Linked DNA regions of Caenorhabditis elegans. The protein of the gene in region 2 purifies or fractionates together with the protein of the main gene of each other region. This does not show direct contact. Each region holds a gene or a part of one and is shown on either strand. Other genes may lie near its edges.

What was found.
Region 1: the proteins of T19E7.6 (region 2) and Y23H5B.8 fractionate together in Caenorhabditis elegans (co-fractionation; one large-scale study listed by BioGRID). This does not show direct contact.

What each region holds. Positions count from the first base shown.
Region 1 is NC_003279.8:2,545,707-2,550,070, forward strand, and holds Y23H5B.8 (T20D4.11-like domain-containing protein), read right to left. Parts: upstream 2,694-4,364; 5' UTR 2,622-2,693; coding exon 2,415-2,621; intron 1,627-2,414; coding exon 1,498-1,626; intron 1,449-1,497; coding exon 1,260-1,448; 3' UTR 680-1,259; downstream 1-679. Other genes in the region: Y23H5B.3 (T20D4.11-like domain-containing protein), read left to right, coding at 1-54, 101-157, 235-447.
Region 2 is NC_003282.8:5,666,819-5,671,113, forward strand, and holds T19E7.6 (SCP2_2 domain-containing protein), read right to left. Parts: upstream 2,686-4,295; 5' UTR 2,678-2,685; coding exon 2,552-2,677; intron 2,488-2,551; exon of another isoform or gene 2,467-2,487; intron 2,202-2,466; exon of another isoform or gene 2,103-2,201; intron 1,760-2,102; exon of another isoform or gene 1,739-1,759; intron 1,735-1,738; coding exon 1,576-1,734; intron 1,308-1,575; exon of another isoform or gene 1,283-1,307; intron 940-1,282; coding exon 850-939; 3' UTR 729-849; downstream 1-728.

The DNA.
Region 1 (4,364 bases), on a different chromosome or scaffold from region 2:
CTTTGTAATGGAATTGGCGCATTTGGATCATGGTTTGGATATTGTATTCCAAAGGTATTCCAAAAAGACTAAAAGAGACAAAAACTGAAAAAAAATTCAGATTCAAAATGCCATCACATTAATGGAGTGGCCGTGCTTAAGCCATTGGAATAATGCGGTAAGATTTCTTTTTTACATAAGTTTGAATTTTGCGTGCTGTGGAGCGCATTTGCATTACAAATATATGATTTTTAGGCACAACTTCCAACATGCGAGTATTTCGAGGCTGACAATGAATGCAAGACAATGCCAATAGAAAATATATGCGGCCCCCGTGCCGTCAAAGAAATGCTGGATAATGAGAATTTTATTCGTGAATATTTTGGATGCAACAGGATCTACAAGCCTTCAAATAATTCTAGTAATAGCTTGAAAATCAAAATTTCAGGTAATCCTAATTCGAAATGAAGATGTTTGAAGAATGAAGGCAATTTTGAAACTTTTATATAATGCAATTTTGTGCTATCAACTAACTAAATGTTGACCAGATGACAACTTTTTCCTACTTCTCAACATTTTAGAGATAATCTCTGCAAGCATCTCAACAAGTCGGCCGCAGAAAAAAATGACCAATTTTTCATATATCGTTAAAAACAAGCTATCAGCTCACAAACTATCTCAAAATGGATGTATCGCAAATTTTGAATGCACTTTTTATTTAAAACATAAAGATGCACTATTAGCTAGCCCCTACAGTGGGGCTGAGCTCCTTTTGGGGCTGTGGCTGGTCTCCAGCCCCACTTTTTGACGCCGTCTGCGCACTTTCCGATAAATAGAAAAGAAATTAATCGGCGCAGAATGTGCGCAGACGCCTACCTAGTGGCACACAGGGTTTCGTTCGTTTTTCGCATATTGAATTTGTGGAATAAATATATAAATATAATAAATAAATAAATAATAAATAAATAATAAATAACTATAATAAATAACAGAGACAGTTTTATGATAGTTTGTTAGAATTTTAAAAATAAAATAAATCGTTATGGCCAATGTTTTCTTAATGTCCTGGTCATTTATAATTTCAACCAAGATCCCGGAAATCCAAACAAAGGAAATCGATACATCGAAAAATACAGAGAGTCCGCCCATATCCTGAGTTGGGCTTCGTTTCCCGGTTAAAGTTAAAATAAGGTTAAAAAAAACAATGAACACAATATAGGTGCTTTTCATTTGATAAAAAGGGGATCAACCCCCGCGAATCGGAATGTCGTTTGGATACATTATGGCTGATTTTCACAAGTCATCACTTTGACCTTATCCTCATTCTTCAACATATCCTCCCATGCTTCATCTCCGCATTGCTCTTGAACAACCCGTTGAAGCTCTGAAAACTCGTCAGGTGTCAACCAGCACTTTGGTTTATCCTCTCCAATCGTCGTGTTTTTCAGAGTAGTTACGTCGAATTTTGTCTGAAATAAAATGTTCTAGAGGATCTTTTTCGGAGAAGCTTGTAGGTACCTTTTCCATGCATTTACTGAATGGTCCGACTTTTAAGCCCAAGTCTTCACAGGCGGATCTCATGAACATTGTTCCGAATCTCAAAATACTTTTTAGTAGCTCTGGGATTTCCATTGATTCTACGCAGTTCTGAAAACTTTTAATTTTTTAAATATCAAAAAAAAACTAAAAGTGATGTACCAAATTTTGGGCGTGGCCTCTGATGCTCATAATTTTTTTGGGAGCCGTTAAACGGGCGTGGCCTTTCGTTCCGCCCACTTCTTGGTTGTGATCACAGAAGCTCTATCCAGTAGGCTTCCACGCAGGCGCAGAGAAGCCTACCTCGCCCGCCTTGTGGCGACCAAACCATTTTTCCGGAAATTGGTAAATTGGCAGATTGCCGAAAATTTTGGGCAAATTGTGCTTTTGCACAATTTTTTAAAGGAAATTTCAGAATTTCAATTTCAATCGGCAGATTTGTACGTACCTTATAAATTTTCCTACATATATTTTGAAAAGTGAGCAGATTCTATGAAAATATTTAAAGAAAACGGGAAAATTTTCAAAAAAGCACAGTTTTAAGTGTTTCCGTCTTATGAAAAAATCCCTTTAAAAACTTCCGGCAAATCGGCAAACCGGCAATTTGCCAATGTGCTAAATATTCCTTCTCGCCATTGTGTAGAAAAATGTTGAGAGGCCAGAGGCTGAGGCGGGCAGGATGAAGGCAGGCCCTGAAACCGCGCCTGCCTCCCATGGAATTTTTTTTGGCATTATTTGAAACGAATTTAATGTTCACAAACTACATTTGAGAAAAATTGGAAATCGGTGGCCGCAGAATTTCTAGGCCACCTACTACTTTTGCAGAAATTTTTTGTTGAAAATTCAATATTTTTCGAAACTCTATTTTTCAAATTTTTGCTGAAAAAAATAAAACTAACCGTTGTGTCAATGCACATATGATAAAATGTTTCCAAATTACCAATTTTCACATTTTTGCCGTGTTTCGTAGTTTCCAGCTTCAAATTATTCAAAATATTCTTCATTTTGTTGAGCTTCGTGAGACAATTTTCATAGTTTGTTTGTTGCCCGGAGACAATGGAAAAAACGAAGAAAGTCGAGAGAAGGAACAAGAGAATTTTGGCCATTTCGGTGTATAAATATTGAATAATAACAATTGAATAGCAGAAGAAGAAGAAATGACCTATCGAAAGATATATCCCTCGTCTCCGTGAAGATATATCTTCCCGGGAGATAGTCTCTGAAGTCGGGAAAACAAATATTTTGAGGTCAACGGATTCATATTTATTAGGTATAGAAATATCGATTTTTCCAATGGAGAGATGGGGAAAATCGACTTAAATTTTTTTTGTAGTTTTTTATCTGCCATCTATATTTTTTAAAGGGATATGCCAAATTTGTTCAAATTTTTTTCAGAAAAATTCAAAATTTCTGAGCAAAAGTTAGTGGGGAATTAAAATTTGAAACAACGGAATTTGGTGGAAAATTTAAATCTTCTGTGGCAAATATTGGCGGGAATTTCAAATTGTTTGAGTTAATGGGAGGGAATTCAAATTTTCTGAAACAAAAATTTTGGCGAGTAAATTCAATTTTTTTGAACAAAAATTGACGAAAAATTTTAATTTTCTCAGAAATTTTTTTGCGGGAGCTTGAAATCTTTAAAGAAAAACATTTGCGGGTAATTCAAATTTTTGATTTAAAAAAACTTGACGAGAAATTCAAATTTTCTGGGAAACTTTTTTTTTGGCGGAAAAATTGAATTTTCTGAGGAGAAATTAGTGTTGAATTAGAAAAAAAATTTTTAAACAAATTTCTGAAACAGAAATTGGCGGAAAACTTGGTCACACCACATTTTCTTAGGCCATCTGTGACGTCACTCCTCTTCCAGCCGAGATCAACAAGAGACCACTGTAAAAATTATCTAAAATTTTACTTAAAATTTATTTTTCAAAAATATTAAAAAGAAAAAAATTAAAATTAAAAAAATGTCAATGACCGTGCTGACCTTTCTTATCAAATAATCAAATCTCAACTCACGGGACCACAAATCTTGTTCGGCGAAAAATCAATTATTTCGAAATTTCGACTCTTCACAATGAGCTTGGATATGGAGCACCTCCATGGTGCCATGAATTACCGTGAGTTTAGGAAAAGTTGCCGATGGTTGCTGAGCGATCGCCGAGGATGTTGTCGGAGCATTGCCGCTTCTGTTGCCGGCGTGTCTACAAAAATCAATAAGTGTCATAATGGTTGCTGACAATCTTCAATAACTCCGATTTTATTGATTGCCGGTAGTCGCCGGCGGTTGCCGATAGTGGCCGGCAGCAGCCATTACTTGTAACAAATGGATTTTTTTTTCGATTAACGATAGTCACCGCTGACCGCCGGCAATGAAACTCTAATTTTATTGATTACTGATAGTCGCCGGCAATTAACAATAGTTGCCGCTAAGCGCCGATAAATCCAATTTTGCCGGTTCGTAATAGTTAAAGGCAATGGCGACAGTTGCCGGTAATTATCGATTGCCAAAAGTGCCGGAAATATCAATTTATCTCAATTTCCTTGTTTTTCAGTGTGTTTCGCTGCTGCTGCGTCAATTTCTGGAGCGATCATTGCCGTCGGCTGTACCACCGGACATCGTGAGAATTCGCGTGGTGGCAAAGGAAAATCGGCGAGATCAAAGCGATCGAAACGATCAAAACGAGACAAGAAGCAAAACTCGAAGAGACAACAAAACTCGAAACGACAAAAGAAGATTAAGGTGAGTGGAAGAGTTATTTCTCGGCCACTGTAACAACCATCTTTTCAGAGCAATTCTGCCGCTCCGGCACCACCGGCCAAGAGTGGAGTGCCTGCAAAATCGGCGGAGA
Region 2 (4,295 bases):
CAAACGATGCTCCGTTATTACGCATGCGCCTTTAAACGCAGAGATTACTGTATTTGGAAAGTTTTAAATTTAATTTTAAGTTTAAATTTATTCAATTTTGCTCGATAATTTTTAAAAGCTGCACAGAAAAAAGAGAAAAAAATTAGACAATTTTCCAATAAAGAGCATTTTTACTAATTTTTTGTTCAGTTCTAATCTTTTAGAGACCATCAAAACTTTTGAAATAAATTTATTTTATTTATTAATAATATAAATACTTTCAAACTAGAAATAAAACATCTTGGTTTGTCGTAAAAGTTCTACAGACAAACAACAACATTTCGCTGCAAGACCCAGTCCAATAACAGGGCCTCCCTGTAAAACTGTTCTCAACTTTATATCATTTTAAGCAAAAAATGCAATCTGAAAATTGCTTAATGTCAGTTTTTCATGAACAGGTCAATGTAAATAGTAAATATCTGAAAATTCCGAGAAACGCAGACACATTGTCTCTATCTCTCGGCGTCTAACTCTCTCATGCTTTTTCCAATGCCTGGGGGTCGGTGCCTGTCGGTACTGGCGTTCAGTTTGTTGGGCCTCTGGGCGTCGGCATCCACAAGTGTGTCTCAACTTGTGTTATAAGGCCGTGCCATAAAGCAAAATGGAGATACGAGAGAACGAGAAAACCGGAATAAATAAATAAACAGGCTAAATATGAAAAAGTTGTTGGTAAAACATCAGTGATTAAGGTTCTCAACAATTCTTTTTTTTAATCAATAAAACATTGTGGGGGTGCAAATTGAGGAGGGTACAGACAAGAGACGTGCATTAGTTATTCATCAGTGTATTGGGGAACATGTATAATTGTCGTTATTCGAATCGATATCCACGTTTGTGCAGTACATTTTTTAGAAATTCGATACTTCCGTGGCTTTCTGTATTCAGCTTTTCTCCGCCGAGCTGGAAATTATTTTATTTTAATAGGCGAAAATTTTTTCTCATGCCTACATGCCTACACGCCTGCCTACCGCCTCAGATTTAAATTTTTCATAATATCCGATGTATAGAGTTGTAACAGTTTAAACTATCAATTTCTAATTTTCTTCCTTCGGAAAAAACCAATAATTGCCAGTAGGCACGGATCAGGCGTAGGTAGCTTTAAAGGCAGGCAGGCAGTTTTGTGTCTACTCGGCAGGCTTCCAGATGTTACAAATTGACAAAATGCAGAAAGTGCGAATTATTAAAAAAAAAATGAAATTCATGTTTCAACAAGTTTTTATATCAATTTCGATTTAATCATTTATTAATAGTTTAACGTCTTCCCGGGACTAAATTTTCATTGTATGTTTAATTGTGACCCATCTTTCATCACAAGTTTTCTAAAAGATTAAAACTGCAAAACCGATCAGTGTTTTCGAATTCCATTCATTTCATTTGATTGTTTCAAAAGCGGTCGGAGCAAATCGTGGATCGGTTTTGCAGTTCTCATCGTGGAGGTAATTAAAAAAACGTTTTGGGAGATTCTGATTCAAAAAAGGGGGTTTTTTGGAGGAAATTAGTTGTTTTTTGTCAATTTAATACCTAATTTTGTCTCACCAAAATAATTCGGTTCTCCTGTTCTTCCAACTCATCTCTTGGCTCTTCTTTAACAATTCGGCACCGCAAACTTGGTTTGGATAGGATTAATGCCGCGAAATATTTGTAATGTGATTCAACATCAGTCAGCATGTATTGTGCAATTCCTTCGTCGAAAATCTGGACATAATGAATACATAGTACAGTAGCCATGTTTTCTAGTGAAAGTGTTTAAAATGTTGTTGAAACAGTAATTTTTTTCGAATTTGTTTACTAAACCTATTTTGATTTATTCGACTGCAAAAATATTTGATCGAAAGTCACAAGAAGGTGTTTTTTCCTACTATTTTTTTGCGTGTACTGAAATGAAAAATATCACAGCGAAAATTTTTAAACAAATTTTTTGAAATTTCCTAAAAAAAAAGCCTTTCCTTTATTACAATTTTGGGAATTGACCGAAAAATTGTTCTTGTAATTTTATAATTTATTATGTATTTCTAATTAATTAAAACATTACAGAGTTTTTTTTATCTGCATGACTATCTCGGCAATTCGCATCGTACATTCCTCGCATTTTGCTCATACATTTAGAAGGAAGTCCGGAATGTACGACGCAATATACGACGAATATACGACGAACGAGGCAACCGAAATTGCAAAAAGGAGAGATGACCAATATGCGAGGAACATACGACGAAGTTAGGATTTCAAGTTTACTTGAAATTTTACAAAGTCCGTATTTTTTGGCTATTTACCAGAAATTTGAAAAATCTGAAACTTTTTGGTTCTATTAATTAAACGAAGTAACTACTCATACTTAGTTCTCCAAGATTAATCGGTATAAACCAGCTTGCAAGACATAATATGCTTAATATATTCCAGAAAATGTTCTAAAAATTACGAAAAAATATTTTGGCAGTTGAACCACAGTTAACATTGTCCGTCACGTGATACTTTTTTAAACGAAAATTCTGAAACAGTAAAATTTTAAAATTACCTTAATACTTGCATCAATTTCCCAATCGTGATTCCATCTTTCCACAAAAAGTGCAAGTTTATCCACGTGAATTTCAGTGATAGTCGGTCGAATGAGTCGTGTCGAAACGTCTTTCTCTCGGAACATTTTAGTCGCTGAAGAATCCATTAGTTGAATTAAAAGAAAGTATATAGACTAATGGACTTCAATTAATTGAGATTTCAATATAAGAAATAGGAACAAATGAAGAAGATTGATTTAAATTTGATAATAAAATGATAAAACTGATAAAAATGGGACGGTGATAAGCATGAACTATTGTCAACAAGAAACACGAATAACGTATCTTTTATATTCGAAATCACAAGGCAAAGTTAAGAAAAGTAATAATAACAGTTTCAAAGAGTACCTCAACGGGTAAACATTCCAAAAAAAAGAATCACATCTCAAGAGGAATGACTCATAAAAAGCACAAAACAAAAATAAAAGAATGAGGCAAAAAGAAGAACCCATTGTAAAAATATTTTGAAACAAAAGTGAATGAGATAGGATCGGAATAATAGTGACCGCCGGGAGGCTGTGGAGGTGAAAAATGAGATGTCTGTGGCAGTGACCGCACTTTAAATTGAAAAGAAGAGAATTGGAAGGAAGGATTTGTCACAGAAAATCACACTCGATTATTTACATTTTTGTAAATATTTAGAGTTTCCAGGGTTTTTAGAATGTTTGAAATTAAATATAAAAATTAGCCTCGACTTTATAAAAAGTTGCATTCTTTTGTATTCTTGATGTAAATATATATTATTTAATTTTCGATAGCTAAAAATCCAGAAAAAAAAACCACAATTTTTGGAAGCATAAACTGATTTCTTATTTTGCAAATTTCTAACTTCAAAATTCAAAAAAGCCGAGAACGCAATAGTAATTACGCATTGATTTTCAAACAATGTTTGAAACAGTAATAAAAATTCAAACCCTACATCATTTTAATTCTTCACAATTCGAGCATCTTGTGAAAATAACGAAAAATAAATAAATAAATCATTTTGCCACGTCACATTGGTGAAAACCATCTCAAAGTAAACACGATCTCTGATACTTTGATTAAGTGTGGGCGTCTATTTACAATTGCATTTTTTGAGATATAAATTAGCTTCAATACATTAAAAAACATTGTTTGAAAATTATCTACTTTGTCTGAAACAGTAAAACATTAAAAAGTGTAGTATTTGAAAAAAAACCTGAAAACCTACACAAAAAACTAAAATGTTCATGTTTCGTCAAGTTAAATAAAAATAGCTCTACTAAAACACAAAGTGCATGGGATTTTGAAACTAGATTTGGGCATCTATTGCGAAATTTGAAAACACTCTTGAAACTGAAAATTATTTACGTTTGTGTGCAGATTTCTTACAACATGAACAACTTTTTTCAGATTAAAAATTTAATGTTGAATGTTTTCTATCATAGTGTGGATTTCCATGGTAGAGTTTTTCAGGTATACCAGATCGCCAATACATTGCTACATACGAATAAAATCTACAGAGAACATTTTAAAACATTTTCTGCCTTTTCATATAATAACTTGATTTTGGAACGTTCGAAAATTTCCACTGTTTCACGTTAGTGGTATAATGACATCAAAACGGTTGTTTTTTAATTTATAGTTTGTCTACTTTCTTCTAGCCCGCGGCATTGTATTTTTATTTTTGTAAAATTATGTGAACTTCTAGAAATATCAAAAAAAGGAAGAATTTTCGTGGAA